Struthio camelus: one gene and its partner. The protein of the gene in region 1 binds, or shares a complex with, the protein of each later gene. Links are inferred from orthologs where the notes say so. Each region holds a gene or a part of one and is shown in the gene's direction. Other genes may lie near its edges.

Evidence for each region.
Region 2: the proteins of ESPL1 (region 1) and PTTG1 are in contact, whole or in part, in a cryo-EM structure (PDB 7NJ1), measured with the Homo sapiens proteins. The link is inferred for Struthio camelus from reciprocal best matches to the Homo sapiens genes ESPL1 and PTTG1. Residues at the interface, in NP_036423.4 of Homo sapiens: His402, Thr405, Val406, Tyr409, Ser461, Asn462, Tyr465, Tyr468, Arg505, Arg508, Glu512, Glu544, Thr547, Phe548, Arg551, Gln590, Lys593, Ala594, Val595, Arg596, Thr599, Gly600, Arg603, Gln634, Cys637, Tyr638, Trp683, Ile686, Glu690, Ile697; in NP_001269311.1 of Homo sapiens: Tyr111, Pro112, Glu113, Ile114, Glu115, Lys116, Phe117, Phe118, Pro119, Phe120, Asn121, Pro122, Leu123, Phe125, Glu126, Ser127, Phe128, Asp129, Leu130, Pro131, Glu132, Glu133, His134, Gln135, Ile136, Ala137, His138, Leu139, Pro140, Leu141.

The regions. Positions count from the first base shown.
Region 1 is NC_090969.1:1,560,062-1,574,539, reverse strand, and holds the start of ESPL1 (separin), read left to right. Parts: upstream 1-8,910; 5' UTR 8,911-8,998; intron 8,999-9,426; 5' UTR 9,427-9,438; coding exon 9,439-9,519; intron 9,520-9,685; coding exon 9,686-10,801; intron 10,802-11,044; coding exon 11,045-11,149; intron 11,150-11,340; coding exon 11,341-11,461; intron 11,462-11,769; coding exon 11,770-11,906; intron 11,907-12,022; coding exon 12,023-12,216; intron 12,217-12,298; coding exon 12,299-12,541; intron 12,542-12,775; coding exon 12,776-12,920; intron 12,921-13,342; coding exon 13,343-13,487; intron 13,488-13,794; coding exon 13,795-13,934; intron 13,935-14,062; coding exon 14,063-14,197; intron 14,198-14,290; coding exon 14,291-14,410; intron 14,411-14,478. Other genes in the region: nuclear receptor subfamily 1 group D member 1-like, read left to right, coding at 1-153, 236-432; MFSD5 (molybdate-anion transporter), read left to right, coding at 5,837-7,195. UniProt on the Homo sapiens protein: Caspase-like protease, which plays a central role in the chromosome segregation by cleaving the SCC1/RAD21 subunit of the cohesin complex at the onset of anaphase. During most of the cell cycle, it is inactivated by different mechanisms.
Region 2 is NC_090954.1:14,382,776-14,397,974, forward strand, and holds PTTG1 (securin), read left to right. Parts: upstream 1-9,238; 5' UTR 9,239-9,457; intron 9,458-9,565; 5' UTR 9,566-9,628; intron 9,629-10,141; 5' UTR 10,142-10,162; coding exon 10,163-10,244; intron 10,245-10,544; coding exon 10,545-10,723; intron 10,724-11,120; coding exon 11,121-11,214; intron 11,215-12,089; coding exon 12,090-12,239; intron 12,240-12,617; coding exon 12,618-12,694; 3' UTR 12,695-12,775; downstream 12,776-15,199. Other genes in the region: pre-mRNA-splicing factor SLU7, read right to left, coding at 612-751, 944-1,011, 2,492-2,589, 2,847-2,978, 3,488-3,535, 5,220-5,285, 6,845-7,009, 7,571-7,651 and 2 more. UniProt on the Homo sapiens protein: Regulatory protein, which plays a central role in chromosome stability, in the p53/TP53 pathway, and DNA repair. Probably acts by blocking the action of key proteins.

The DNA.
Region 1 (14,478 bases):
TCAGCGGCGACACCTACTCGCTGAGCAGCCTGCGCGCCCTGGGCATGGGCGCCCTCCTCGACGCCATGTTCGACTTCAGCGAGAAGCTGGCGGCGCTGGCGCTCGACGCCCAGGAGCTCGCCCTCTTCATGGCCGTGGTGCTGCTGTCGGCGGGTGAGCGGGGCCGGGGCGGCGGGGCTTTCGGGGCCGGGCGGCGGGACGCGGCGGGTGCTGACGCCCGTCGTGCGCCCCGCAGAGCGGGCGGGCATCGCGGCGGCCGAGGCGGTGGAGGCGCTGCAGGAGACGCTGCTGCGGGCGCTGCGGGCGCTGCTGGCCCGCCGGCGCCCCGAGGACGCCGGGCTCTTCGCCCGCCTGCTCCTGCGCCTGCCCGACCTGCGCAGCCTCAACAGCCAGCACGCCGAGAAGCTCCTCGCCTTCCCCATCGAGCCCTGAGTCCCCGGTCACGGCTGCGCCCCCTCGGGGACTTCCACCCCCCCCCCAGTCCTCCCGGGGGGACGGGGACGCCCCCACCGCCTCGGGGATGCTCCGGGGATGGGGACGTCCCATGGCCTCGGGGATGCTCCAGGGATGAGGATGCCCTGGGGACGGTGATGCCCCACGGCCTTGGAGATGCTCCAGGGATGGGGATGTCCTGGGGATGGGGATGTCCTGGAGATGGGGACGCCCCACCACCTTGGGGATGCTCTGGGGATGGGGACACCCCATGGCCTCGGGGATGCTCCGGGGATGAGGATGCCCTGGGGACAGTGATGCCCCACGGCCTTGGAGATGCTCCAGGGATGGGGATGTCCTGAAGATGGGGATGCCCCATGGTCTCGGGGGTGCCCCAGGATGGGGACGGCGGCACACTGTGGCCTTGGAGATGCTCCAGGGATGGGGATGTCCTGGAGATGGGAATGCCCCACAGCCTTGGGGATGCCCCAGGGACAGAGACACCCCAGGGACAGCAGCAGCCTGTGGCCTTGGAGATGTTCCAGGGATGGAGATGCCCCACGGCCTCCAGGATGCCCCAGGGACAGGGCCGCCCTGGGGACAGGGACGCCCCACAGCCTCGGAGATGCTCCAGAGATGGAGACGCCCCATGGCCTCGGGGACACCGCCAGGGACGGGGACACCCTGGGGACAGTGGCACCTCGTGGTGTTGGAGATGCTCCAGGGATGCAGATGCCCCGGGGATGGGGACGCCCCACAGCCTTGGGGACACTCTAGGGATGGGGACGCCCCATGGCCTCGGGGACATCCCCAGGGATGGGGCTGCCTTGGGGATGGGGGCACCCCAGGGACAGAAGCAGCCTGCAGCCTTGGGACATCCCGGGGACGGGAACGCCGCCAAGGATGGGGCACCCTGTGGCCTTGGGGGTGGCCCGGGGATGGGGATGCCCCTGATGACGATGGCACTCCGGGGAGGGTGAGGCCCTGCGGCCTCGGGGGTGACCTGGGGATACCCCAGTGACGATGGCACCCCAATGACAATGGCATCCTGGGGATGATGGTACCCCAACAACGATGGCCCCCCATGCCCTCGGGGACACCGTGGAGATGATGGCACCACCGGATGGCAGTGACACCCTAGGGGACAATGACACCCTGATGGCGATGATGCCCTGTGGCCTCAGGGACACCCCAGGGGCCATGTCACCCCGATGGCAACAGCACCCCGATGGCGGTGGCACCCTGATGAGGATGGCACCCTCACGATGGTGGCACCCCGATGACGATGGTGCCCCAGGGACGATGGCACCCCGGGGATGATGGCACCTCGATGATGATGGCCCCGTCCCCGCGGTGCGTCCCCCTCCCCTCCCGCCTGCCCTGCCTCAGCCCCAAGGCCAATTTGGGCCGTTTTGGGGCTTTTTGGAGCAAGCGGGGCTCCCGCTCCCTCCCTCCCGCCCAGGTTTGGGGCAGGGAGGTCCCCGAGCTGGCTGAGGGACCCAGGCATCCGGGCCCTCTGGACACATATCAGGGCCGGGAAGGGGGTGGGGGTGGGAGGGCGAAACTTTGCACTTTGGGGCTGGGGCACCGCTGCAAAAGGTTTATTTTTTGTCTAATCTTGAAGTGCAATAAAGGAAATAGTAAACGGAAAGTGGCGGAGCGCTGGGCTGCGGCTGCGCGAGAGGGCCCCCGGCCACCACCCCCCGGCCACTGCCCCCCGGCCTCTCACAGCTGCCCCATACCCCCCAGGGCTGCCCATAGCCCTGGCAGATGCCCCACAGCCCTCACAGCTGCCCCACGGCTGCCCACGGCCCTCGCAGCTGCCCCATGGCCACCCCACGGCCCTCGCAGCTGCCCTACAGCCACCCTGCAACCCCCACAGCTGCCCTAGAGCCCTTGCAGCTGCCCCATGGCTGCCCCACGGCCTCCACAGCCCCCCCACGGCCCTCGCAGCTGCCCTACGGCCACCCTGCAACCCCCACAGCTGCCCTAGAGCCCTTGCAGCTGCCCCATGGCTGCCCCACGGCCTCCACAGCCCCCCCACGGCCCTCGCAGCTGCCCTACGGCCACCCTGCAACCCCCACAGCTGCCCTAGAGCCCTTGCAGCTGCCCCATGGCTGCCCCACGGCCTCCACAGCCCCCCCACGGCCCTCGCAGCTGCCCTACGGCCACCCTGCAACCCCCACAGCTGCCCTAGAGCCCTTGCAGCTGCCCCATGGCTGCCCCACGGCCTCCACAGCCCCCCCACGGCCCTCGCAGCTGCCGCACGGCCACCCTGCGGCCCCCATGGCTGCCTCACGGCTGCCCTGTGCCCCCCATGGCTGCCTGGTGGCCCCCCCAGCCCCCCCCAGCCGCCCCACGGCCACCCTGCGGCCCCCACGACCCTTGCGGCTGCCCCACAGCCCCCACAGCCACCCCACAGCCCTGCCACAGCGCCCATCAGCCCCGCAGCTGCCCCATGGCTGCACCGTGACTGCCCTGCGGCCCCCCCGGCGGCCCCCCGGCCCCCCGGCCGCCATGACAGGCTTCGGCCTGGCCCCCTGCAGCCCCCACGGTCGCCATGGCAACGGTGGGGGGGGCGCAGCACCATGGCGATGGCTGGTGTCTCATCCCCGTCTCCCCCCACCAGGGGGTGGGTGGGTGGCCTGTTATTTTGGGGGGAAGGCTCCGTTATTTTGGGGGGGGGGGGCATAGGGGAGAGGTCAGGCCGGGCGGGCGGGGCGAGCGCAGGGCCCGCGTCACGTGACGCCTGCCAAGATGGCGGCGGCCGCGGCGGCTCCGGCCGCGGCGACGCGGAAGCGGAAGCGGGTGCGCGCGGGCGCCGGGAGCGCGCGGCCTCTCCCCCCGCTGAGGGGCAGGTGGGGTCGGGGGGTGAGTGTGGGGCCGGGGGGTCAGTGAGGGGCCGTGTGGGGCCGGGGGGTGAGTGTGGGGCCGGGGGGGGTCAGTGAGGGGCCGTGTGGGGCTGGGGGGTGAGTGTGGGGCCGAGGGGGGGTCAGTGAGGGGCCGTGTGGGGCTGGGGGGTGAGTGTGGGGCCGGGGGGGTCAGTGAGGGGCCGTGTGGGGCTGGGGGGTGAGTGTGGGGCCGAGGGGGTCAGTGAGGGGCCGTGTGGGGCTGGGGGAGTCAATGTGGGGCCGAGGGGGTCAGTGAGGGGCCGTGTGGGGCTGGGGGGCTCAATGAGGTGCCGTGTGGGGCCGGGGGGGGCTCCGTGAGGGGCCGTGTAGGGCCAGAGGGGGTCAGTGAGGGGCCGTGTAGGGCCAGAGGGGGTCAATGAGGGGCTGTATGGGGCCGAGTCAGTGGGGACACTGCAGGGGCCCAAGGGGCTGTGTGGGGCCAGCTGGTGGGGTCACCGAGAGAGGCCCTATGGAGCTGTGTGGGGCTGGAGGCTGTGGGTCCCTGGGAGGGGCTCAAGGGGACTATGGACTGTAGGGTTAGATGGGGCTGAGAGGTCACTGAGAGGGGGGGCTGTGGGGCTGGGGGGTCACTGAGAGGGGGGCTGGGGGCCTCTGTGGGAGGGGCTGCCTGGGAGGGAGCCGTGGGGTCAGTGGAGACATACAGAACAGGGGCTGTGGGGTCTGTGCAGTGGGGACGTATAGATCCGGGGGGCTGTGGGGATGTATAGGGCAGTGGGGGGGGGATGACTTGGGGGGCCTTAGGTAGGGTGTGGGGAGGGGGCTGCCAGGGGCAGAAGAGTGACATGGGGCCAAGTTTGGGGGGGGGGGACAAAAAACCCAGAGGTGCCTTTTGGGCACGAGCTGCCCCAGGGGCTGCAGGGGCTGGAGCTGCCGTGGGCTCGGTGGCTTTGCCTGGGGCCGCCCATGCTCAAAACTTGCGGCCACTCACGGTCTTCACCCGTCTCCCGGCAGCAGGGACAGACCCTCACCCTGTTTTCTCACGCCCCGGGATCAGGGGGACGTCCGCTCTGGCAGGACAGCGGCTCACGGCGGGGGCCTGGCATCTCCGGGAGCTGGTTGCAACCCATAGGACTGTCCGGATGCTGCGGGGCTTCCCCTGGAGCAGAGACCACCCAGGTGAGCTGGGGACAGGTGACAGGGTGAGACGGTGGTGGCCCTGGCTGCCTGCCCAGCCCTGCCCTGCGACTACACAGACCTGTTCGCCTTATTTTATTTTTTTTTTTTTTAAGTCACCTGGAAAGATTCGGCTGCAAGGCAGCAGCGAGGAAGATGTGAGGGGCAGGCTGGAAATGAGGATTAGGGACAGGAGCAGGGGACAGCCTCTGTAGTGCCTGGGGACAGGCAGGCTCTGGACATAATACAACTGGGAAACCAGAGGTTTTAGTTTTTTGGATTTTTTTCTTAGGCTGTTTTAGCACTTCTGTTCAAACACTTGGTTTAGGAGTGAAGCCAAACCCTTGACAGACAGATCCTGGATCTCGTCAGTCCTCCCGGCATATCACGTGCTTTTTCTTACCCTGAGGACTATCCCATCCCCATAGAATGCAAATAAAACAGGATGTGACTTTATTTTTCCTGCTATTAAACAGCTTTTCTGTTTGCAATTTGCCCTGAACCCCTTGGCTTTCTGGGTAGGCACAGGAGAGTCATCAAAGAGTCTGAAACCAACTGTGCTGCCAACGGCCTTGTTCTCACTGCGGACCGCTTCTTCTAGGGCTTGTGCTCACGGCGCAGATGGGAGCAGGATGGGGCTGGCGCCATGGGATGAGCCACAGCCGAGCCCCAAGGGACAGGCTGGGATGGCAGGTCACTGTGGGGAACGCTGCGGATGGGGACTGTAGCTTCACCTCCTGGCAGAGAGGCAGAAATTAGTGTACAATGGGGTGGAGGGTTGAGGCTTGGCTGGAGGTGGAGCTGTCCTTTCCTCCGCCTCTGCGGATCGGCTTGTCACTGGGGAGCAGAGGTAGAGGGACAAGGAGGCTCCTACGAGCGATCGCGGAGGAGCCGCAGGATGGGCTTTGCACTCTCCATTTCTGAGTGATGGCACTTCTGGTGTTGCCTTTATGGAGACCAGTCTGTGACCTGGCAGACCAGTGTCCTGTGGAGTTTTTCCTGCTTCTCAGACCGAGTTTCGTAACTGCTTCGCTCCACCCTGTGGCTCTGCAGTAAATGCAGCCCTTCCCGTCTGCCGCAGCCCTTCCCATCTCCCAGCCGGAGTCAGCTCTGCCTGCGGCTTGTGTCCTCATGGGCATCTGACCCAGGGTCCAAGAGCTTTGAGGGCTGACAGTTCAAAATCAGCTGCTGAGGAAGGACGGCCTTGGGGTGCCCAGGTGTCCCGGCTTGCGTGGGCAGAGCAGCAGAGCGGTTGCTTCGGGGCCACTCCTGCAGAACAGTGCACCTCCCATCCGGATGTCACGGCATTTTCTTCTCCTCTCTCAGGAGCTTCGCGGTAGCCCTCTCTCCCAGAGATGCCCGTGACGCTCTGAGGCACCATGCTCTTCACCGCCTATGCCGCCTTCGCCGTCCTCTTGGCCGTATGCTTGGGCTTGGAGTTCTCCGCCTGCCGCTCCAAGCTCACCGGTAGCGCGTGCACCAACCCGGCTTTCCTCCAGTTCCAGCGGGACTACTACCAGGTGTATTTCCTGGCTCTGGCCGCCGACTGGCTGCAGGGCCCCTACCTCTACAAACTCTACCAGCACTACCGCTTCCTGGAGGGGCAGATTGCCATCATCTACGTGTGTGGCTTTGCCTCCAGTGTCCTCTTTGGGCTGGTCTCTACGTCCCTGGTGGATTGGCTGGGCCGGAAGAAATCCTGCATCCTCTTTTCTTTGACCTACTCGGTCTGCTGCCTCACCAAACTCTCCTGGGATTACTTTGTCCTGGTGGTCGGGAGGATATTAGGCGGCTTGTCCACAGCGCTCCTGTTCTCCGCCTTCGAGGCATGGTACGTTCATGAGCATGTGGAGCGCTACGACTTCCCGGCGGAGTGGATCCCCGCCACCTTCTCGCGAGCTGCTTTCTGGAACAATGTCATTGCCATTGGGGCCGGGGTGGCAGCCAACTTCTTTGCGGAGTGGCTGGGCCTGGGCCCGGTGGCCCCTTTCATGGTCTCCATCCCCCTCCTCATGCTGACGGGCATCTTTGCCATGAAAAACTGGGATGAGAACTATGGGAAGAAGAGGGCACTCTCCAAGACCTGCATGGATGGCTTGAAGTGCCTCCTCTCAGACCGGCGCGTCCTGCTCCTGGGCACCATCCAGGCTTTGTTTGAGAGCGTCATCTACATCTTCATCTTCCTCTGGACACCTGTGCTGGATCCTCACGGCTCACCTTTGGGCATTGTTTTCTCCAGCTTCATGGCAGCTAGCATGGTGGGCTCTTCTCTCTATCGGATTGCCATCTCCAAAAGGTACCACCTCCAGCCCATCCACATCCTCTCGCTCTCTGTCCTCATGGTTTTCTTCTCCCTCTTCATGCTCACTTTCTCCACCAACCCTGGCCAGGAGAGCCCTTCTGAATCCTTCCTGGCTTTCCTGCTCATCGAGCTCTCCTGCGGGCTCTACTTCCCTGCCATGGGCTTCCTCCGGCGGAAGGTGATCCCGGAGAAGGACCAGGTGGGAGTGATGAACTGGTTCCGCGTCCCCCTGAACCTGCTGGCCTGTCTCGGCATGCTCATCCTCCACGACAGTGACTACAAGACGGGCACCAGGAACATGTTCACCATCTGCTCCGTGATGATGGTGATGGCACTGCTCGCCGTCGTCAGCCTCTTCACCATCGTCCGCAACAACGCGGAGCTCTGGGTGCCCGCTCCGCAGGGACAGACGGACCCGTCTTCCCCTGAGCTCTGATGAGCTGTTGGACCGCAAAGTTGGCGCCTTTGCGAGATGGCCTGTGAGCTTGGGGGAGCGAGTATTGCTTGTAGCGTGTCAGACCCCGAGACTCCTGCCCTGCTGGTGGAGGGGGGTCCGTGGAGCCCCCGCGGGGGGAAGCAGCTGTGACCGGTCAATGCTTGCGATAGAAGCACCGTCACAGATGACAACGGCGCAGGTGAGCCTCCGGTTGACTGGTGATTCCCGAAGCATCCCAACCCGAACTGCCTCCATCTCCTCCCTCACATCTTCTCTTGTGCAACTGCCAAATGTCTGAGGTGGCAGGGAAGGCTGTTACGGAAGGTGAAGTATTGGAAGCGCACACTGCTCAGCGCTGGACTCCTTGGGATAGCTGGAGGCGAGCACAGGGACGAGACGCTGTCCGGGCGCTGGATGTGTTACCCCTGGCTGCTCCGCACACCGAGCTCAGCAGCCCTCTCTTTTTTTTTTTTTTTTATTTTAAAGAAAATAAAAACCGACAATGGTTGGTTCGAGACCTGCGTGCTTCTGGTGCTTTGCAAAGCTCAGGAGGTGCTGCTGGGTTTCCCTCTGTGCCTTCCTTGGCGTGTCGCTCTCCTTATTTCCTCCCCAAAGCAGCCCGTTGCACGCTGCTCGGTGTGCAGAGAGGTTGGCCTGGTGGACACCAAACCTCGTCACTTCAAGCAGGAGTGCACGCTGATCCGTGCGTGCGTCAGTGCCCCTGTTGCACCAGAATTCGTGCCAGACAGTGGCAGTCCCTTTGCACAGGGATCTGTGCATGTGCTCGTGGTTCTGTTGCACTGATCCGTGTGCGCTGACAGTCCTGCTGCACGGGGACCTGTGTGCATATCAGTGCCTCACTACACGCTGATCCACGCACGCGCACGTGCCCTGGTGCACACGGATCCCTGCGTACGCTGGCAGCCCTGCTGCGCACGGATTCGTGTGCACAGGGACAGCCTGTTGCATGAGGATCTCTGCGCACACACACAGGGGCACCAGCTGCACGCTTTCCTGCACACCAGCACTGTGTTGCATGCTGATCCCTGTACTCTTGCACTCCGTTGTACAAGGATTGCTATGCACTGGCACCTCGTTGCGCACTGACCCTGCACACTGACTCCTCGTGGCACAGAGGCCTATGCACGCTGACACCCGTTGCACACTGATCTGTGTGCGTTCCAGCTTCCCCCTTGCACAGGGGTCCCTGCACAGCAGCTCACTGTTGCACGCTCGTCAGTGTGCACATGGGCTCACTGTTCTACAAGGCTCTGCGCACCCTGACACCCTTTCCACTCCCGTATGCAGGCCTGTTGCACAAGAGTCTGTGCACACCAGCAGCTTTTGCACACTGCTCGGTGTGCACACTGGCTCCTCACTGCGCAGTGGTCTCTGTGCACTCATCTGTGTGCACAACAGCTCCCTGGTGCAAAGGGGTCTGTGCACCCAGACACCCTGTCACACACCCATATGTGTGCACACGGCTCCATGTTGCCCAGGGGTCCGTGCACACCAGCTCCCTGTTGCACACCTGCACGCGTGCGCACCGGCCCCGTGTTGCCCAGGGGTCCGTGCACACCAGCTCCCTGTTGCACACCCACACGTGTGCACAGGGGTTGCACAGGGGTCCGTGCACGCCGGTGCCTCGCTGGCCGCCACCCTGCGCGCATGCGCCACCCCCGGGCGGGGACTACAACTCCCGGCGTGCAGCGCGCGGGGGGGGCGGTGCCGCGCGCCGATTGGCTGCGGCGGAGATTTGAACGGGGCGCGCGGCCGGGCCCGGGCGGCTGCGGGTGGCGACGCGTGAGTGCGGGGGGGGTCGCAGGCCCCGGGGGGGGGCTGCTGCGAGCAGTGGGGGTCTGCAGGCCGTGGCAGGGGGCTGGGAGCACTCGAGGGGCTGGGAGTGGGGCTGGGGAGGGGTTGCAGGCCCTAGGGGAGCCTGTGAGCGCTTGTGGGGCTGGGGCAGTGCAGGCCCCTGGGGGCTTGTAGGGGGTGTTGCGGTTTGTGGGGGGGCTGGGAGCGAGGTTGGGGGGCTGCAAGCCTGGGGAGGGCTTTGAGGAGTGGGGCTGGGGGAGCTGCAAGCACCTGGGGGGCTGCAGGCCCCGGGGCGGGCTCTCTGCTGCCTCTTTGCCTGGGTGGTGCTGGGCAGCCCCAAGGGACCCCTGTCCCCTGGGGGGAGCACAGCCTGTCCCCACCCTGACTTGTCCCCCCCCCCCCCCACCGTGTGGCAGGCTGGGAGCAAGATGATGCGCCTGAAAGGAGCTGATTTTGTGGCACGGACGTGCAGCCGACAGGAGACGGAGACGCTGCTCTCAGAGCTGACGGTGAGGTTCGGGGTAGACCCTTTGCAGCATTGGGGGGGGGGTCTTGACCACCCCCACCCCCAGCTCTGGGGTGCCCTCTGCTCCCCGCAGCGAGGAAGACCCTACCCAGAAAGACCCTTGGCTGGGTTCGCCACGTATCGGGGCGCTAACGGTCTCTTATCTCCAGGAATGCCTTGCCAGCGCCCCAGAAGATTCGGCCGGGGCGAACCAGCCCTCTCGGCAGAGCATCGTGTGCGACAGAGTCCTGCGGGCTTGCGTGCACCAGCTGGGACAGCCGGGGGCCTGCCCCGCGCACGCCGCCAGCCTCGTGGCGCTGGCTGAGGCCGCGTGCCGGGGTTACGTCGCCGCTACGCCCCAGCCCGCTCCCCTTTACCTGGAGAAGATCATCTACCACCTGCTGAGGAACGTGGTCGCCCAGGGGGCCGACGATGCCTGCTGGAGGGTGGCCGATCTCCTCCGCGCCCGGCTGCTGACCTACCGGCCCCGCCAGGCTCCCTCCGAGGACTTCGGGGCCGTCGCCAGGAGCGGTTTCAGCGTGCTGTGGAACGGCGCGGACGCCCTGGCCAAAGCCAGCCGGGCGCCGGAGGAGAGCAGGGCCGTGCTTTCGGCTCGTTTGCGAGCCCTGCGCTTCCTGGCGCTGCTGGAGGACGACGGGGCTCCCCTGCTGCCGCAGGAGCCTCCCTTCTTCACCTCCCAGACGGCTCGCCAGGCGGCTGCGGCTGCCGTCATGTTCGAAGGCCAGCGGGCGCCCCTCGGCGCGGACGACGCGGTCTTCCTCAGCAGGCAGCTGGCCGGCTGCTTGCTCGCAGCCCTGCGGGAGGGTGGCGGCGCGGCGGAGCGGCCGACCCCGCAGCGGTCCCTGTGCTTCTTCGAGCTCACCTTGGAGCGATGCCGGCGTCTTTGCAAGAGCGGCTGCTACAGGGAGGCCATGGAGGCTGTGAAAGAAGCCCGCAGCTTTCTGGGTGCAGCTGGTAGCTCGGCGAAGACTTTTAATGACCCCCTGGCTCTGCTGGAGGCCGGGGTCCGGCTGAGCCGGGTGCTCGCCGAGAGCGTGGGCCAGGCAGGGCCGCTGTTCTCGCAGGCGGCCACCGCTCTCGGCTCTGCGGCGAAGGTCTCGGAGCGGTTCGTCCGGGTGCTGGCCGAGAGCTGCCAGTTCATCGTCTCGTCCCTCAGCGGGTACGCGAAGAGGAGCGAGCGGAGGCCCTTCGGTCGGGAGGATGTTCTTGGCCTCTGTGCCTTCACGGAGGGGTATTGCTGCGTCCTCCACAGGCTGCTGGAGCGGGTAAGGCTTCAGACAGGAGTGGGGGCGGCCACCCACTGTGGCCTGTCTTGTTCGTTAGAGGTCCTGCGAGCAGCGGGAGGGATGCAACCATGCTCTAGGCTTGCCTGACAGTCTGTTGCTCCCATTAATCCATCAGCAGAGCAGCCCTGCCTGGCATCTCTGTCCTTTTTAGCACGCACCATTGGAGCCTGGTGCTGTCAGGACCACGAAAACACTGTTTATTTTCTTTCCTCCCCTCTGCAGATTCCTCCCGACAGCATAAAACAGCAGCTAACAGTGAAACAGCTGCTCTACCACAGCCTCCAGCTCTTCACCAGCGTGGCGTACGATGCCTTCCAGTGCTCCCAGGTACCAGCAGCGGAGGGGACAGTCCCCAGCGCAGGGCTGGGCGAGACCCTGGCCAAGCTGCGAGCGCGATGCTGGGCAGCAGGCTGGGTTCTCCAGTGCTTTCGGCAACGTGGCTGAGCCCTGAAGCCCCTTGGAGGGGTCTCGTTGGCTGCCGCTGCACTTCTCTCCCGCTAACTGTGGCTGTTGTGCAGGCGGTCGGGTGGTCCGGCCTGGAGCGGCTGCTGGGGGTTTGCCGATGCACCGTGGCGTGGATGCTGGCGGCCCTGGAGGGGCTCCCCGCGAGTGAGCGAGCAGAGTACCTCGATGTCACCGGTCAGTGTCCCCGTGGCAGTAGGGGAGCCCGAAGCTGGCTCTTTTGCACAGGTGTGGGTCAAATGTGGTGCCGCCTCCTAGGACAGCAACTGGGACCCTTCCCCCTGTCTGAAGCCCCTGGTGAAGGGGCACAGCTCAGTATCTGCCTCACCCCAGGCAGCTCGGGGCTTGGAGAGCATTGGGTTCTCAGCTGGAAAGAGCGTAGCTTGTAGGGTTAGTGTGAAGGGCGTTAGTCCTTGCTGGACAAGGGAAGAGGGTAACTCCTCTCTCCAGAGTGCCTTTAATATTTGTTTTTTAATCCATGACAGCATCGTGCACGTTTAAGCTGGCCTACATCTTCTACAGCCAGAATCTTCATGAGGAGGCCAGCTCCCTCTCTGAGCTCTTTTGCAAGAGGCTGGAGATGGCAGAAGCCTATAAATACCCAGAGATACCCCCAGAAAGGGTGAGTAGCCACATGAGGGGCTGCAGCATGCGATTCTGCTCTCCAAGGGAGGCAGAGAAGGAGTTCTGCAGGGTGCTGAAGCCAGTCCTACTGCACTGTTCATGCTCTCCCCACAGCTGCACAGATGCTTCAGGCTGCAGGTGGAGAGCTACCGGAAGCTGGGTCGGTTCGAGAGAGCCCTGGTGTCCATCGTCCAGTGGTTGGCTGCCCTGCGGGGTAAGATCAGGGAGCAGATGACAGAGCCCATCTCCCTCTGGGCCAGAGTCAAGACGGACGCCACGAAGCAGGGGGCTGAGGAGATACGGCTACGGTAAGGCAAGATCTGGGTGCTCTGCGCGTGTGGGGTGGTGTCTGCGCAGAACCCCCCACCCAGATAGCACCCGTTTCCCCAGGACCCTGAAGGATGGCTTGGAGGGGCGCTGCCTGGATGCTGGGACCTTGGTGGCCGTGCTCTTCGAAGAGCTGAAGGCCTACAAGACCGTGCGGGCCAACACGGGGCAGGAGCGCTACAATGTCATCTGCGACCTGCTGGAGATCTGCTCGGAGGAGAGCGGCTGTGTGCACGAGCGGGCCATCGGCTTGGTGGAGCTGGCCCAGGTCTTGTGTTATCATGACTACGCGGCGCACACGGACTGGTGGGTGGATACAGGCGTACCGGGAGAGCTATATCCAAACACGGCTCTGTCCTGTGTCTCTGGGAGCCCTGAAAGAGCCTTTGAGGGTACTTAAGGGATTTACAAGGTTTAGGGGTGCTATTGCTTAAGACAAACCTGTTCTAGGTATGTCTTAAGTATATCTAGTTCTCCTCCTAAAATACTCCAGGAGTTTTGGGTGCAGAAGGCTGTGTTTCTAATCCCTCTTTCTGGCAGCTCCTCCCTGGACTCGATCCGAGAGGCCTTGCGGCTCCTGGAGTCTGTGCCCAGGACCGCCCAGAACCAGGATGAGCTCCTCGATGACCGAGCACAGGCCTTGCTCTGGCAGTACATCTGCACCCTGGAGTCCAAACTAGAGGAGGTAGGCGAGGGCAGCAAAGGGGAGCTGCAGGTTGCTGAACTGGGTTGCAGCACCTGCTTGATGGGTGACCCAGGTCTGGAAAAGCTGCAGTGATCCTAGGGCACCAGAACCACTTTGTGCACATGCCTAATGTGCAGATCTCCTCCAAACTCAGCAGTTAAGAGGAAAAGCAGCTCCCCACCCTCCTGAAACCTTTCAGGCTTCCTGGGTTCCCAGTTACGCTCAACTAGTGCGGGCAAACCTAGTGCCTCCCAGCTGAAGGCACTGCCTATGGAAAATGGCCCCCTTCAGCTCTTCCCTGCTCAGCCCTCTCCCTTTGAGGCCACCAAAAGCCTTTCTGCAGCCCTAGCAGGGCCCAAGGGGCTGGAAGCCCTGCCTGCGTCTCCTAACATGTGTTGCTGCTGCCTCCTAACCTGCCACAGAGCATAGAGAGGGAGCAGAGAGCCAAAGCTCAGGGGCAGAAGCACCTGGATGACTTTGAGCCCAATGACCTCAACTATGAAGACAAGCTGCAGGAGGACAAGTTCCTGTACGACGGCATCGCCTTCAACCTGGCTGCAGAGTCTGGTGAGCATGTGGTGACTGAGCCTCTTGTGGCAAAGGCCCCCTCAGCCAGTGAGGTTCCTCTGCCCGAGGAAGGAATGGCGATGGGGTTGATGTGGGGAGGGAGCGCACACTGGGAGATGTTCCTCTGCAGCTCTGCCCCATGGGACAGCAGGGAAATGCATTCTTGCAAGCTGGAGGCATTGCTGGAGATGCCTTTTCTCCCAGCTGTTTTTGCTGTGCAGCCAGGCTGGGAGGGGGGGGTGGTGGTGGTGTTAGCAGTGGTGTGGTCTGCCTGGAGAAGCTGCTCAGGCCCACGACGTGTGCTTAGCTCAGTCCCAGAGCCTGGACGATGCCTTCGCCTTGTGGAAGCAGCTCCTGGCGAAGAAGGGAGTTCCCGGCGTGCGCAGCCTGGAGCAGACCGTGGCCTCCCTGCACCTCATGGCAGCTCTCTACAGACTGATGGCCAGGGTAATGCTGCTGGGGGCTTGGCTGAACTGTGCGACAGAGACAGCTGGAGGGAAAGCAGCCTCTGCAGGGGCAAAACATCCCTCTGGCGTTGTCTCCAAGCATAACTGTGTGGGTTTTCCTGCCCCCAGCCCCTGCAGGCTCTGGAGAGCTACCTGCTGGTCAGATCCCTGTGCAGCGCGGTTGGAGACAGCCTGGGCATGGCTGGTGCCTTGTGCCAGGTTACCAAGCTGCTCTTCCAGCTGGAGTGTCCCAGCTATGCCAAGGCAAGTGCGGGGCAGCAGGGAGGGCAAGGCTGCTGGGCGAGTTTGGCTGTTCCCCTGAGGCCGCAGCCCTCATGCTGTCTTGTCTCCTTCCAGCTCTTCCTGGAGGAGACGGAGTCCTGCTTGCAGAAGGCCGACAGCAGTGGCGATTCCTACCTGTTGCTGAAGCAAACCTGCCTTCTGCTCCGCAGCCAGCTTTGCTGCACCAGCCACCAGGTATGCCCTGCAAGGGCCCCTCCGCTGGGGAGATCTGGATGCTTGGGCCTGGGCTGAAAACCCTTTTC
Region 2 (15,199 bases), on another chromosome or scaffold:
TTGGGGGGGGGGGGGGGGGGTCAACGTGAATGTTGAAAAGGTTAGAATCTGCATGGGTGATTTAGCTGTTATTCAGTTGTCCAAGAAACTGGTAACAAAATATAAAATAAATTTTTATTTAGAAGACTGCACCCAAAACCAGAGTCTGAAAATTCTGACTTTTGAAAGCTTTTCACACTTCTTAAGAGGAAAGAAATATTTAGAAATAGTTTTCAAAGACAGTCTTTAGAAAAGATGCTGCTTCTAAATAACATAAGTTTTTTTTAACCACTTTTATTATTTTTAAAATAAAATATCTAGATTCCCACTCCACCTACATACTGCTGTCAGATTTTTCAACAGAAAAATTCTGGCAGCTAAGAAAAGCCCTCCTGAGAATCCAGAGAAATCCTAGCAGATCTTCAAATACACTGTTCCTATATTACATAATTTACTGAATGCAATAGATTATAGACAGTTTATTATACATATGTACATACACATATATACATATATATCATAGAGCAGGTCAGAACAGCTGACATGTTTTGACATAGCATTACTAATGTCATTTGTTCCGTAAGACCAAAACTCAACAGAATCTTTCTTAAATAAAACCAAACGTCTATTACCTTCTCTAGAATGCTTTCTTTCTGCTGCGCCTTGAAATCTTCTTTTTTCACTTTGAAGGACTTATAAAGTAGCTCTAATTTTGTAGGGTCTGCTTGAAGATGAACTTCAGAGCCTTTGTCATAAGCCTCCCAAGCAAACACTGCGTACACAAGAGGTGTCACTCAATATTTACTCTAACTGACGTGTGTATTCAAATTATCACCTCTAGTTTTGTGATAATTTTTAAAAACCTGAATCTAAAATTACAAGGATTTTTTTCTCCTTTTCAAAAAAAAGCAGTATTGTTAACTTAAACATGTTTCATTCCCTTGGAAAAAAAAAACAAACTTACACTGAGTCTGTGCCATTGAAATAGTATCTCCAGTGTAACGGACAAAGTTGTCACCTGCATAACCAACTCTGCAGAAAAAAAACAATATGATATTTAGCATGCACGTAATGCATCATTTCCATACTTATGCCTTTTAAAACACACTCACAGAACACCAACAGGAAAGTAAAAACTCTCCTTTGTGCCCTGATAGTTAAGATGAAGGGAGAGGAAGCAGCATTCAACTCAGTATTTGAACTAAAAGTCTAAGCTCTCAAAGTCATAAAAGCATTAGATACCAACCCAGAACGCTTGATGCCTATGTTTATATGGATATGTTTTAAAATGCAGAATGGGAGCTCTGTCTGGGCATGGGATACCAAGCACCATGAAGCCAAGCTTCAACCTAATTGCACAATAAATACATATGAATGGCAAGTGATATTCTAGCACAGTGATTTTCAGGTTTTGGATTTGTAGATCCCTTCTCCCTCCCACCAGGTACTGTAGCGAGTTAAAGCCTGATAATAGCTTTGCTTTCTTCAGTTACCTTTTGCACATCCCTTTGAAATGACTCACAAAGAGTATATGAACCACAGGTTGAAAATCAAATACTGTTAACAGTCCAGTTTCCCCCTCTTTTCATCTCCACAAAAACCACTCTGAAAAATTCACGATCTGCAATGCTGTTGCAAAAACATGGATTCGACAAAGGTCAAATTATGACTCTAGAGAGAAGTGAAAGCTCCTGCATCCGAAATAAAATGGACTGACTGGCATTATTCTAGCTGGGGGCAAGGAGAGGTGGAAAGAGCCTTATTTGCCAGTATTTAACCACTGCCATTCTATTTTAGACAGCAAGCTAATCCAGTTACTGTACTCTGAATAAATGTTTCTAGTCACAGCTTGTCTACTCTGTATGTCTGCTGCACTACATGGGTCAAGGCTGGGTCACAGCTCAAGTGCTTGACTTGGGTTTTTAAGCAAGACAGTCTTGTGTGTAGCCAAAAGCCAGCTTAAGGCATTCTTTTTTAATCAAGTCGTCCATCTAAACAAAGCCAAAACTTTCAGATCTTTAGTACGCAGACCCCATTAATAGACGGGGAATGTTTGCTCCGGATTCAGGCATTTAGTTAGACACCACAGATACTCCACGCTAGGTATCCACTGCTGAATGCCTCTCAACAAGTAAGGGATGAAGTTTTAGATTCAGTTACTGAAATACTTTTCATAAACATCATTTTTGCTTATAGGTATCATCTCTAGATACAGTAGACTGTTCTTATCCTTGTTCCATACACACATCAGCACACCAAGTGGTGGTCCTCGTGTCCCTGAGGATCATTAAAATACTACTTTAAACACTAAAACAAAACAGAAAATGCTGGTAACAACAATTTTTTCATGTTTACCATACAGTATTACTGAAAGACTTTTCTATCCATAATGGACTAGGGATTCATTAATAAAGATACACAGCTATGCAAGGAAATACAAAATTACTAAAGTAATCTCATTTTTTAAATAGAGTTTTGTTGGATACTTGACCGTTTCTCTGTTTTAACTTACTCGTCTGGATTCTTGCCTGTATTGGCATATGGGTTCTCCCTCATTGCTCTTGTTTTGGGATCATAATAAGCAGAGTTTGGATCTAGATTCCTGAGGTACTAGGGGAAGAAAACAACATACAAGATATTTGATTAAAAATTTATGATTTTAATAGAACCAAAATTAGTACTGTAACCCCCAACTTAGACACTTTAAAATGGAAAAATCTGTGCAAGGGGATGACCTTTGAGAAATCATAACACGCGTAGCAGTAGAACTGAGAATACACCTTAATCTCTAAACACCAAATTCATTAATAATAGTGCAATTTTTGAAATATGTATATAAAAGATCAGTAATAGAACTCTATACTCACTTTTGCAATATCTTCACGAATACGTAAATTTCGAACTGTGATACGTCTTTTAGAGTCAAAGTTCTGTCCAGGCATATCAATGTCATCTGCATATTTATCTTCATCTTCATCTTCACTGTTATGATCTCTTTCCTGAGGAGAGAGAGAGGAAACTTCTAACTAAAACGAACATTCAGAGATAGGAAACTTCTACATAAAAATGAGCATTCACTCTAGAAACAAGAATCTGATTTTAGTGGTTTGATTAAAAATTCTGCAGACCCTGTAGTTAAAAGTTAGTATCATTTATTTGGGCTTAAGTATGCTAATCTATCATGCAGTTATATTCCACAGTTCAGAAATACCCTTGTTACTGTTATTTGCACTGTGGAAAGAGTTACAAAAACACAACTATGATGATGTTAAGACAACAGTTATATTGATCAAAATATACAACATGTTAAAAACTAGTTATTCTCTTGCACCTCTAAGGTTTGACAACACACAGGAGTTATTAGCTATGAAATCCAGCACCCTCTGCCCAAAAAAAAGGGCAGCATGAAGCCAGTATTGAAACTCTCCTGCCACCCCTGTTTCACTGCTTCACTAACTACAGATTTTTTTCTTCCCCCATGGTGTGATGCAGTGGATAATCATCTTACTGTCTGTGAATTTGGTTCCTCTTCTCCCCATTGGTGTCTCGGGGAGTTCTGCAGCAAACAAAAAGCACATCAGCAGAGAACACAAGATAATGGAGAGAAGGAAGAAGGCAGGGAGATAAAGAACAACCAAAGCAGAGCTTATTCCTATGGCCTAGACTTACTGGAAGCAAAAATACAGTAACTGGGTCACAAAACACACAAAGACCACTCCCATCTAAACGTTTTAAGACAGAGAGCTTGTAAGCGGATCTACTGCAGAAACATGTTGGAGACCTTTTTACTGTATTCCCAACTGAATTTCCAAGCCCTTGCAAGAGTGGTAAATTCCAGAACTATCACTACTATATAAAGTCTGTTATTCTAGTCTAAAACATTAATGTTCAAAAGCATAACTCATAGCACGTCAAAAAAATATGACTCAACTCTGAAACCCTCAAACCCCCCAAACTATACGTTAACAAATATATACGTGATATTTAATTAAGAATGATGGGAATACAGAGCATAAATCAGGAGCCATAACCTCATCTGGAGAAATATAGCCAAACTTTTCCTTTTTTTTTTGAATCTGTTTAGCCTCTAACGTGAGAATCCTTGGGGAAGTAAAGACTGAAACAAGAGTGCTGGTCTTCAAGGACTTCAGTTATGAGAAGAGGCACCAGTCTTGCTTCTCTGTTTATCAGAAATGGTTCTTTATGTTTCAAATATACTTTTCTTCTACCAGTTCTATTTTGTAAGGAATAAATATACGGAGGCTAAAAATCTTGCTCTATGGTGGCAAAAAGAATAAGAACCTTATCCACCTGGAAAGAAGTTCAGGCTTACTATGTATTTTGTGTTGGTTGGAGATTAAGTTTACTCTGCCATCTAGTGACAAAATGCAAGGTGACAACATATGGAAAATGGAGGCCCAATTGTACGTACTCTATTGGTTAGTGTGTTTTTTCTTACAGTATAATATTTTGATTAAGAAAACCCCTCAAAATACTTCTCACCAGTAATGATCTCTACTCCCCCTCGTTTTATAAACCTAGAAAATTATCACAAATACCTCTTAAATTAGAATTTTATATTAAAGATTATCAGAAGCCTTGACTAGATAATCCAAGAGGAGCTTGCAGAAGTTAGTGGAAGATGCAAACTCTGTGGAGTTGCAAGCAAGAAGCTTGCATATCCTCAGCCTTCAAATAACCAAAGACACTGCAAAGAGTGAATCAATAACTGAGGAAGATACAAGTTTGGTTCTAAGGAAAAGAAAATGCCTTCCTATTCCTATTTATATGAAGCATTAATCAAGCAACCCATAGTCACATAATGGTCATAACCACATTAGTCAGACATAACAATCTTTACATTAAAACTCTCATTTTAGTGCGTGAACAAAATTACTACATGGGAAATTATTTTTTTCTGACCCACAATTCCATATCATTCATTTTAGCAAGAAATACTAATTGCCAGAACTGAAGCAGGAAAGTCTTGCCTATGAGGGGAAAAACAAAGGCACTTTCATTTGAAAAAAGGTATTTTGCATTCACGTAAACAACACAGAGTATGGATGCATTACGAAGCACTGAAGCATTACTTCAATGCTTCAGGCAGGTCATGTTACTGAAGGGCACGGAAAGCAATAGGAAACTCAGTCTGCAGAGTAAGAGCATCAGAGAGCAAAAGCGACCTTTTTATCTTTATTCAGCCTAAACAAAAATGAATTAGGGTTTAGTTTCCTTACCACTTGCTCCAGCTTTCCTGATGCTAACTCCTCCTGAAGCTTCTGGGCTTTCAGCGTACGTTTGGCCTGCATATCATTAAAATGCACTTGTTTTAATACTTTCTTTCAATCCCAAGTGTGTAATAAGACTCATCACAAGCACCTCTTACGACCACTATCGTTTTAACAAGTATTAATTATTACAAAACGTGGGCTGCGAATTCTCTGGGTGCTTGTCAAAAAACAGCAGCCCAGCTTGCCTACCCTACTCTTACATTTACCATGTTATATTTTTTCAGATCAAGGAAAGGAAATGTGTATATACTAACCATTTTGCTGTTTCATATTATTCTGTTAAAGAGTTTATTAGAGACTACGCGGCTATACTATCCCTACGTACTTCCTAAAAATACTCCCTAACCATCAATTTTTAGATTAAGAAAAAGCTCAAAGCATTTCAATAGAGTTTAAGAACAAACATATTTTATTATTGTGTCCTTTTATGCTGAATCTAGTTAAGAACTTCAATGCTTGAGGTAGGTCATGATTTATACTGCAAGCATTTATGGTTCATCCAGGAAATACTGAAGTCTAAAGTGAGACTCTGAAGCAGCCACGTAGTGAAATTTTGTATGTTTGACATCACAGAACCATAGAATGGCTGAGACTGGAAAGGACCTCTGGAGATCCTCTAGTCCAACCACCCTGCTCAAAGCCGAGTCGGCTACAGCAGTTTGCTCAGGACCGTGTGCAGCTGGGTTTTGAATATCAACAAGGGTGGAGACTCCACAACCTCGCTGGGCAACTCATTCAAGTTCAATCACTCTTACAGTGAAAGCAAGCTTTTTCTTATGTTTAAATGGAATTTCTTGCCCTTCAGTTTCAACTCAGCGACTCCTGTCCTGTCCCTGGACGCCACTGAGAAGAGTCTGGCTCTGTCTTCTTAATATTCTCTCATCACACATTAATACACATATACAAAAATCACATCACTAACATCCAGAATACCTTCATCTAGCATTAGCTTTCCTGTGCACTATAGGGAAAAACTCAAATCCTCAGATCAGGCCCACAAAGGCACTTAGGTATCTAACTGCCTTTTGGAACAGGCCTACCATCCAGCCAAGGTGGTGAACTACTTTTTTAATATGAAGTTAACAGTATCCACATGGATTTGGTACATACAGCTAGAAAATTACTGCAACAGTTAGGTGCTGATCTGCACAGAGACATTTACAGTTAGTCCACTGCTCTATGATAGTAACAAAAGGGACTCACAAGTAACAAAAACACGAATGAAGTTTAAGAAATGAATATAGATGTTAGCTCTGATCATTATAGCCAGCCTATAAATTCCTTTCTGTAATTCAATCTTCATTTTGGGTAATGAATTCTAGGGCTGGCCTAGTAAAAGACAAACAATTTGAAGAGAGAACTCATTTATTGTGCAGACCCATTTTCAGTTGCCAGTTCTGATCTGAGTTCCCAGCTCAGTCTAAGTTGGTTATCAAACACAGACTCCATCTCTGTTTTTCATTATGAATACAGCACAAGATCTAGTATCAGAGCGCACAGAGCACACGTGCCTCCCCTTATCCCCAGCCAAACACAGAATTTTTCCCCAGTAAATTATAGCACCTACATACCAAGTCAACTTTGGAATATTCCTCTACAATCTTCATGTGCTCTTCTGGGTTATAACCATTCCAACGATCTCGTTTTCCATCATAATCAAACATCAGCTGAGGCTGCACATGTTCATCTGGTGCAATGTTCATGCCGGTGTATTTTGCTCCAACTTTCCTGGGTCTCTGAAAGAAAAAGAAATGGTTGGATCAGTTCATTAGACTGAAGTATATTATTCACTTTAAAAATATGGTATCAATTAAGCTGCTCTAAAGCTGATTTAATCCAGCACTAGAAACGAATCGTAAGTAAAAGTAAGTAGTTCATTTCTAGATTTTTATAGTAATGCAACTGTCTAAAACCTATCAATTTACTGCAGCCCCACATAACCCTATCTTCCACAGTTAAGAAAGGAATTAAATTACAATTCCTGGAAAGTGTTCTTAACTGACATGCAACCGAAAAGGTTAGCCTCAGCAGCACTTGAGTAAAAACGAATTAATGCAAAAAATTAAATGATAAACCTTTTCACCTATTATTGCAGCTCTTTTCATATACAGTTGATAGGCAACATCCTGAATGGTTTTTTTTTCCCCCCTACCTAAAGGTTACTTTAGAAATTTTCAAGCAACGCTTCAATATTTGAGAAACTAGTAACGTTCTTGTTATTTATAACCAGCTATTTTCCACTAGAGAAGAATTTGCATTGTTTTCAAAAACATTAAAACATCAAAGGTCAAATTTACCTCCATGCAGTCTTTCTTTTTGTGTGTCAATGCACCACAGTTCTCACAAGCTCCTTTACGATATTTCGTTGCTACAGCATGCTAAACAAAAACAACAAAAAACAGCATTGTACAAGCTTCCACCAAGATTCATAGACGCATTCCTAATAACTACCTCATTTTTTCAATGCAAGCAAAGTATTCATGCTCTCCACAAAGCCATAACACATCTCAGTTATCACTAAACACTGTGAAACGTCTGCTGAGGAAGAATTCCCGGCTCCTGTCGTCTTTAAAACATGTAACCAGAAAACACAGAAGATTATAGGAACCAACGTTTCTATTCTTCCTTTCTCACAGAATCAAATCTTATCTTTACAACCAAAATATTTTGCATACCTCTTGAACTCCTCGTTTGTACCAATCTCCAGAGGAGCTATACTGTTTCTGCTTCTCTGGCTGAGGTCTCTGGTGCTTTAGAGTGGGTCTTTTAGAAGGATCTATGTACCATGGCACTGAAGATATGTACTGAGGAATGTGAGGATTGATATCTCTGTAAAAGATATCACGTAATAAATACATGGCAGGGGAAAAGAATAGCAACTTAACCTAATGCATAACTCTCACCTTCAACTTCAGCGTTTTAGGGCTGATCGTAAAATAACCACCCAAGTTGTTACAATGCTTTCTAAGTTTGTATAATAAATAAAGACTTTTTTTGATGTTCTGTCTTTATAACAGAAGACTTATCTTATAACAAAAATAGTAATATCCCTTCTCATCACAGACAATAACAGGTGCAATAAGACGGTGAAGAGCCTTGCAGAAACCACAGAGAGAAGGAAAGAAATTGATAAGCTGCACAGTTAAGTTCCCCAGCACTACCTTTTGCTCTCTTTTAAAATACCACTTGTAAAGATCTGCACAGGGCAGGGCTTTTTAGCAGCATCCCAACAGATCAGACCAACGCTGAACATACGTTATTCTTTTGCAAAAACAAAAATCTATACATCTGAAGAAGGCTGGAACGTTAAAAGTAAATTCACGAAGTACAATAATTCAGTTCCGCGTTCACCTTTTGTGCTGTCCCTCACGATTTTGTAATCGCAATAAGCAAAATACCTAGTTTTAAACCCTATTACTTTAGAATGACCGTAGCTTTAATAAAACTTACTTTCCTTCTTCATCCACTTCCGCAGGCGCGTTTCCCAGTTTTCTCTGTTCTTCCAACTCCTTCTTTTTCCTCCAGTCTTCCCTTGTCATCTTCTTTGGTTCCTCCAGGCTAACATCACTTGATCCTCCCGAAGGAGTCGCGTTAATTACTGTCCCAGACGCCATTATATCTCTCTCTGTAACAAAAGATCAGTAAATGTGTTCATCCAGGCGCACCGAGCAGCACCTCGCCGGGGCCGGGCCGGGGCCCACCGCCCTGCGAGGGCCCGGGAACCTCCCCAGGCCCAAAGCGGCCGCCCGCAGAGAAAGGAGCCTGCCCAGCACGGTGACCCCTCCGCCCCCGACCTGCCACGGGGAGCTCGGTGCGGCAGCCCCGACTCGAGCAGCCCGAGCGGCCCTGACCGCCCCGCCAGCCTCCGCCTCCCTTGTTTACCGGCTCCGCTGCGCCACACCGCCACACCGCCGCGCCCCACAATGCCCCGCGCCCCGCCTCAGGCCCCGCCCCCAACGGAACTCGCGCCTGCTGGGGCGGGGCCAGGCAGTCACCACAGCAACGCCGCGCCGCCGCCGCCGCTGCGGCTGCCCGCGCCACGCCCTGCCCGCCCTGCCCGCCGCGCGCGCCCAGCGGCAGCCAATCGGCAGCCTGAGCGTTAGTCTAACGGGCCAATGGGAGGTGCGGCGGGGGTTTAAAAGTCGCCGGCAGGACGGACCCCTCTGTTGCGCCGCTCTTCAGAGGTGAGAGGGGTCGTGGTGGGCCGCCGCCGCCGCCGCGGTCGGCTTCCCCCCCCCCCTCCTCCTGAGGCCTTGCATGGCCTGAAACGCGCAACTTTCTCTCTGCTGTAGGTGCTGTTGTTCTGCTCCGTAGCACAGGTCTGTTGGCAGCGCTTGAGGGGGGCCTCTCCCTAGGTAAGTGCTGTTGGGCTGGGAAGGCAGGTTTTGCTTGGCTAAATCTGAGGCCTCTTCTTGGTGTGAGCAGGTGATGGCTCCTGGAGCCTGGCCAGAAGATGGCGTTGAGGTCTGTGGCTGTGAATTTTGCTTTGGCTTTGTGTTTAAGCTCTAAATTCCAAGTTTTACCTCAAGGCAGCTTTTTCTGGAGGCTTTTTTTCCTCCTTGAGTGGTGAATAGCCTGTCTGTCTAAGCAATGGAAGTGAGATCTGGTGAGCTTTTTCTTAGCTGTGCAGGGAGGTACTCTGGATTACCAGTGACACCTTGCTGCTTCCCTGAACTCATGCAAGTTGCACTGGGAATTTTGAGACTATCGTGTGCACTGATAAAGAAAATTATTCCCAAATGGAGAGAAGTATGTCTTGGCTGCTCCTCTAGGAAGCAGCCTGGGGCAACTGTAATGTAGCTTGTTAAAGTGTGCTATTGTAGCAGAGACAATAAAAACTGACTTCTTTCTACTCATGGGCTTCCCAGAGTGGTCTCATCAGCTTGAAGATGGCAACACTAATTTTCATTGATAAAGAGAATGGTGAAGTTGGTGCTACTAAGAATCAGTTAAGACGGCCTTCAGCATCTTGTGAGTATATGCTGCACTGAGTAAACTAATCAGAGGATGGAGTAAAGACCACAAAATTAAGGATTTGCTGTTTGCTGTTTTGGATGTTAGTACAGTTTTATTCTGCATACCTGTATCTAGCATATCAGTTAATATAAAAGTGAAAATAACTATGTGCTTTCATGGTAGAGAACACTTATGCTTTTAAGTTATAAGCAGAGAACAGTGCTTTTATGACACCTAGTTTTCCAACATATGCACATAGTGAAGCAAACTTTATGCTTGTTATAGAGCCAAAACTTACTTTTCCCCCCCCCCCAGCAAAAGTCTTATCTGAAAGAACACAAGTCCATACTCCACTTCCAAAAAAAAAGATCAGTACATCTCCAGCCACATCCCTCTCTGTCAGAAAGGCGCTTGGAAACGTGAACCGAACTCTAGCAGCAACAAGCAAGAAGGAGCAGTTGAAACAGAAGAATCAGCCTTGCACTGCAAAGAAGGTGAGTGCAGTACTTCTGCAGGAAAAATAACACAACTTATCTATGTAGGTACAGCTTGAGTAATATTCAAGGGCGGAGAAGTGACTCTGGAGAAGATATAGCCTGATTTCCTGTTTTGCTGACATCCTAAGTAGTAGGAGCTAATACTGGGAACCCAAATGTTCTAGTGTGGTGATCTGTTGCCCCTGTGTATAGTATATCATTACACTAACTCAGTTGAAGCATTTGCCCTTCTGCAGCTTATTTGCACTGAAGGTGTTAGAACTTAGGCATAACTGAGGACTATGTTGCAGGCATTCTGGTCTGTAGATCTATACATCACAGAAAAGCCCCTACTATAGGTCCTAAAAGGAGGAATTACAGTAGCTCAGATGAATAATGTGCCTCTTTCCTTAAGATTACTGAAAAGACTGCTGGATTAGAAAGCTGTGATGCAGTAGCTGAAGAAGCCTATCCAGAAATGGAAAATATGTTTCCCTATGATCCTCTAGGTAAGAAATTATTGATGGAGTTATCAGAATGAACAATCAGGCTCTTGTTTGAATCTTGATTTGTCTCAAGACTTTGGCCAAGCTATTGTGGCAACCAAACTGGCATTGCATTTCTGGCATCCTTCCTTAAACATAAGGATGCTCACTACTTAGGAGTACCCCCTCATTCTTGTTTGAATGTTTCTAACTGCAGTAGCTGCACTCAAGACACGTAGTCTTCTGAGGCCACTACTGTGGTGGCAGGAAGCTGGTTTCAAATACTAAGATATGGTCTCTTAACTTATTAAATGGCATCGAGAAGACAAGCGCTCAGAAGGTCTTAAGCAGTGCTGAAGTGTAGACTTTTCCTAAGTGTATACTTCAGATGGCAATATGTAACTGGAGAGACTCCTGCTGAAGTAGGAATCCTACTCCTGTAGTTGTATAGTAGAAATCTAAAATCTCTAAAGCTGTTCTTAGAATCTATGCAAACAACTTGCAGTGCTTTTTTAATCCTATATGCCCTCAAACCTCTAGTTTCTAGAAATAGTTTATGTGGAAGTATATAAAAGCTGTTATACTGGAGACTTCAGTGTTGTTGAAACATGTGTTGCTTGATGTAGTTGACTTGAACTGCTTTTCAGTCACCATACTAATGGCTCCTGGGTCATATTAGCAGTTTTGTTTTGCAGTCTACTTGTCTCTTGATTAAATATTAGTATATGGGCTTTTATGGACAGTTGATTGTAACTGCAAATAAGCACCCCATAAATGGACTATTAAATTGAGGTGCTTTGGACCTGGTCCTAATTAAACTTAGGAGGACTTGTTGCTTCCAAGGCTACTGTAAGTGTTGGTGTACACTGCTAGTAAACTACAGTGTTTTCTGTGAACAGACTTTGAGAGTTTTGATGTACCTGAAGAGCACCGACTAAGCCATCTGACACTGAGTGGTGTTCCCCTCATGATATTTGAAAGTACCTCTGACAGACTTGTAAACATGGCTCCTTCTCCTGTGAAGCTCCCCCAAATGTCATGGGAGCATGGTAAGTGGAGATGTGCATGAAGCTCAGTGTATGCAAGTGCTTATTAGTGGTTTGGGAGGGAAGCTATTGGGCTGTTGCAATAATGAAACTGTCATTGCTATCTAATACTACCAGAATAGGAGTCTGGTATCAAACAACTGTTGGCATGTAACTATGGTGATTTTTTTCCCTGCTGGCCAGCTCTCTTAGTACAGGTAGTCTGTCATGTTGTTGAGCAGTTAGTTGCAATGTATTGCTAACCAATCAGTTAAACTGGTTTATGCAATCCAACCATATCTGAGTCTTTCAAGAGACTTATGCAAATCTGTTAGGATCTAGTTTGTGTTCTAAAGTAAAATTCTGTTTCTTGAACTGACTTACTCTTTCTAACTCTTTCAGACTTGCTACAATCAACTGCTGATTTTCTTTCTACTCTGGATGAGATCATTGATATGCCACCTCTGAATGACCTTTAAAGCATGTTCTGAAACTTTTACTCAGTTAAAATTTCATGTAGTTTTGTATCTTTAATAAAGACTAGTTTAACTTGTATAATACTGGACTTGTCTATTTTCAGTAGACTCAACACACAGTCTGTAAGATGTGGTAGTAACAATGTTTTGAAAGGGAGCTTATTTTATAAGCTATTAAAGCAGAGCCTGGATCAGGTTTAAGCAGAACTATAGTTCATTGTTCTGAACTTCATCTGGGAGTCAGTGCCTGCTGATTAGACTGCATGGTTATGGTAGTTCAACAGGCCCTTCAGCCCTTCTAATGCTGTGCCTTCTATTGCTTCATCCTTTGTCCATCAAACATGCTAGGGTGTAAAACTAATATGTATGTTTTGTGGGAGGTGGGTGCCAGACATAATACTCTGGGCCTTTTACTTGAAGTTATGAACTGCTGAAGAAAATATGATCTAGGATGGTATATCTTAGATCCTCGTATGGCTTGATCAGACTAGAGGTCTGCAGCTGCATAATTGTCACTGCAATATGTGGCCCTCACTGCTTTTACTGTGTCCAGAACCAAGGCTAGCACAGAGTAATCCTGTCCATCAAGTTACAAGAGCAGCAGGTCTAAAAGTTGCTGTACAACACTGGATAAAAGTTGAGTTTAACTAACTTGGCTTTGCTTCATTGGGGTGGCAGATGATTCTGTCTTACCATGAGTTTTATGAAGCTTGTAAGTATGTGATACTTCTGAGCAACTGTTTAAACCAGTAGATATCAGAAGTTCTAGAAAGAAAGAAAAGCAGTATGACTACTTGCAGTGGTTGTATAAACTGATACATTGGAGACCAGGCTAAAAATTAATAGTAGATGAAGCTGCTTAATGCATATAGTTGAACTTCTGATCTCTTTTCACCCAATAAACCATTGGGTGCTTTTCTTTTAATTGGTAAGAAGTCTCAGAAGTAAAGTCCTTAGTGAAAGGAAGTCAGGAATCCTAGTTATTACTACCAATCAGCTGCAGTTACAGTTTTGTGGGAAAAAATTAAGTCAGCCTTTGCTGTGAGGTAAAAAGCTACTTTTCTATTTGCTAGGCAGTACTCTGATCTACTTGGATTACAGCTGTTTGAGCTGCATTCAGGTATGTGTTCATCTTTACCATGAATCTGAATTTACTGGGATGTGGTGTTTTCTGGGTATTCACTAAGATAAAGCCTTTATGCTCTTCCATAATGCAGCTGAGCTCTAGTAACCTATTTTACACTTAAGAGCAATTGCTTTGTCAATTTACCTTAATTTTGACTGGAAAATGAGGGATGAAATTCTTGATTTGCAGTTGTATTTCTGCTTGCATTTTATAATTAATGGTATGTAGTTTGGATTACTTGCTGCAAGGTTGAAGACCAAGGTAGGTTTTTAAGGAAGCAGTTTAAGGAAACCAGACTGGTGGCTTTAGAGACTATTATTGGCATCTTTCACTCTAGACCCCCTCTCCCCACTTCCTGTATGTAAACATTGGCTTGTTTCAAATAGGTGCTGCTCACTTCCACAGCAGTGCACAAATACTACAATGATTGCTGTAGTATGTGGGACCCTAGCAGTGATAGCCTTTGTGCTAATAATGTACAAACACCTCTTACCATTGAGCTGTATCCAAATAGCTTTCTACACAAAGCTGAATGAAAAGATGCACCATTATTCAGTGTTCGTGGCAATGGTTTCAGTGTCATCTACATGCTCTTAAGAGGTACGTGTAGGAGGAGGTGTGTCACAAATATCATGGATGCTAAGGTGGTTTTGTGTGGGTTTATAGGGTTATCTGAGAGCAGTCAAGGGAGAAAGGACAGGCATGTGTCTGAAAAATTACCAGAAACATCTGCTTTGGTCCATAGCTTTGACTTGACAAATGTTACTGGAAGCTGTCTTCCCCCCCTTCCTGCCCCATGGCTCTCCCTAATCTTCTGATGCATTTTAGTACAGTTTGCCTGGACTGGTATTCCTCAGTATCTCACTCAGTTTGGAAAATAATACAATTAAAAATATTAAACATCCTATTTGTGTTCTCAGCATTATAGCTGAAAGTACACTGGGCCAGTGTTTCCCATGTTTGTAATTAAATTGTTAGGCTCTGTATGCTACTCTTAATAGTATGTTGCTTTTTCATCTAGCTACCTTAAGGAATGGTATTGGTGCTCAACAGATGCAAAGATTTTGAGCAACCTCTGCCATTTTTTCTAACTTTAAATGGGTTGTCACAAGTGTGGATGAGATTATAGATTAATGTGCAGAATGTTATTACAGATGACAGCGTGTAGGGATGGATGGAAAGTGTTTTGACCTACAGATCCTATCAAAAGGAAATGAGGAAATAATGACACAAGAGCCCTTCAACAAACAGCTTTTAAAATCTGCTTCTTAAAAACAGACATCTGTCAGATTATCTATAGATGACTTTACTATGCTTTATTGAATCTTTGAAGTGGCCTTGGGAACCAACAGACTGCGGTACCTTTTCCAGAACTGTTAGGC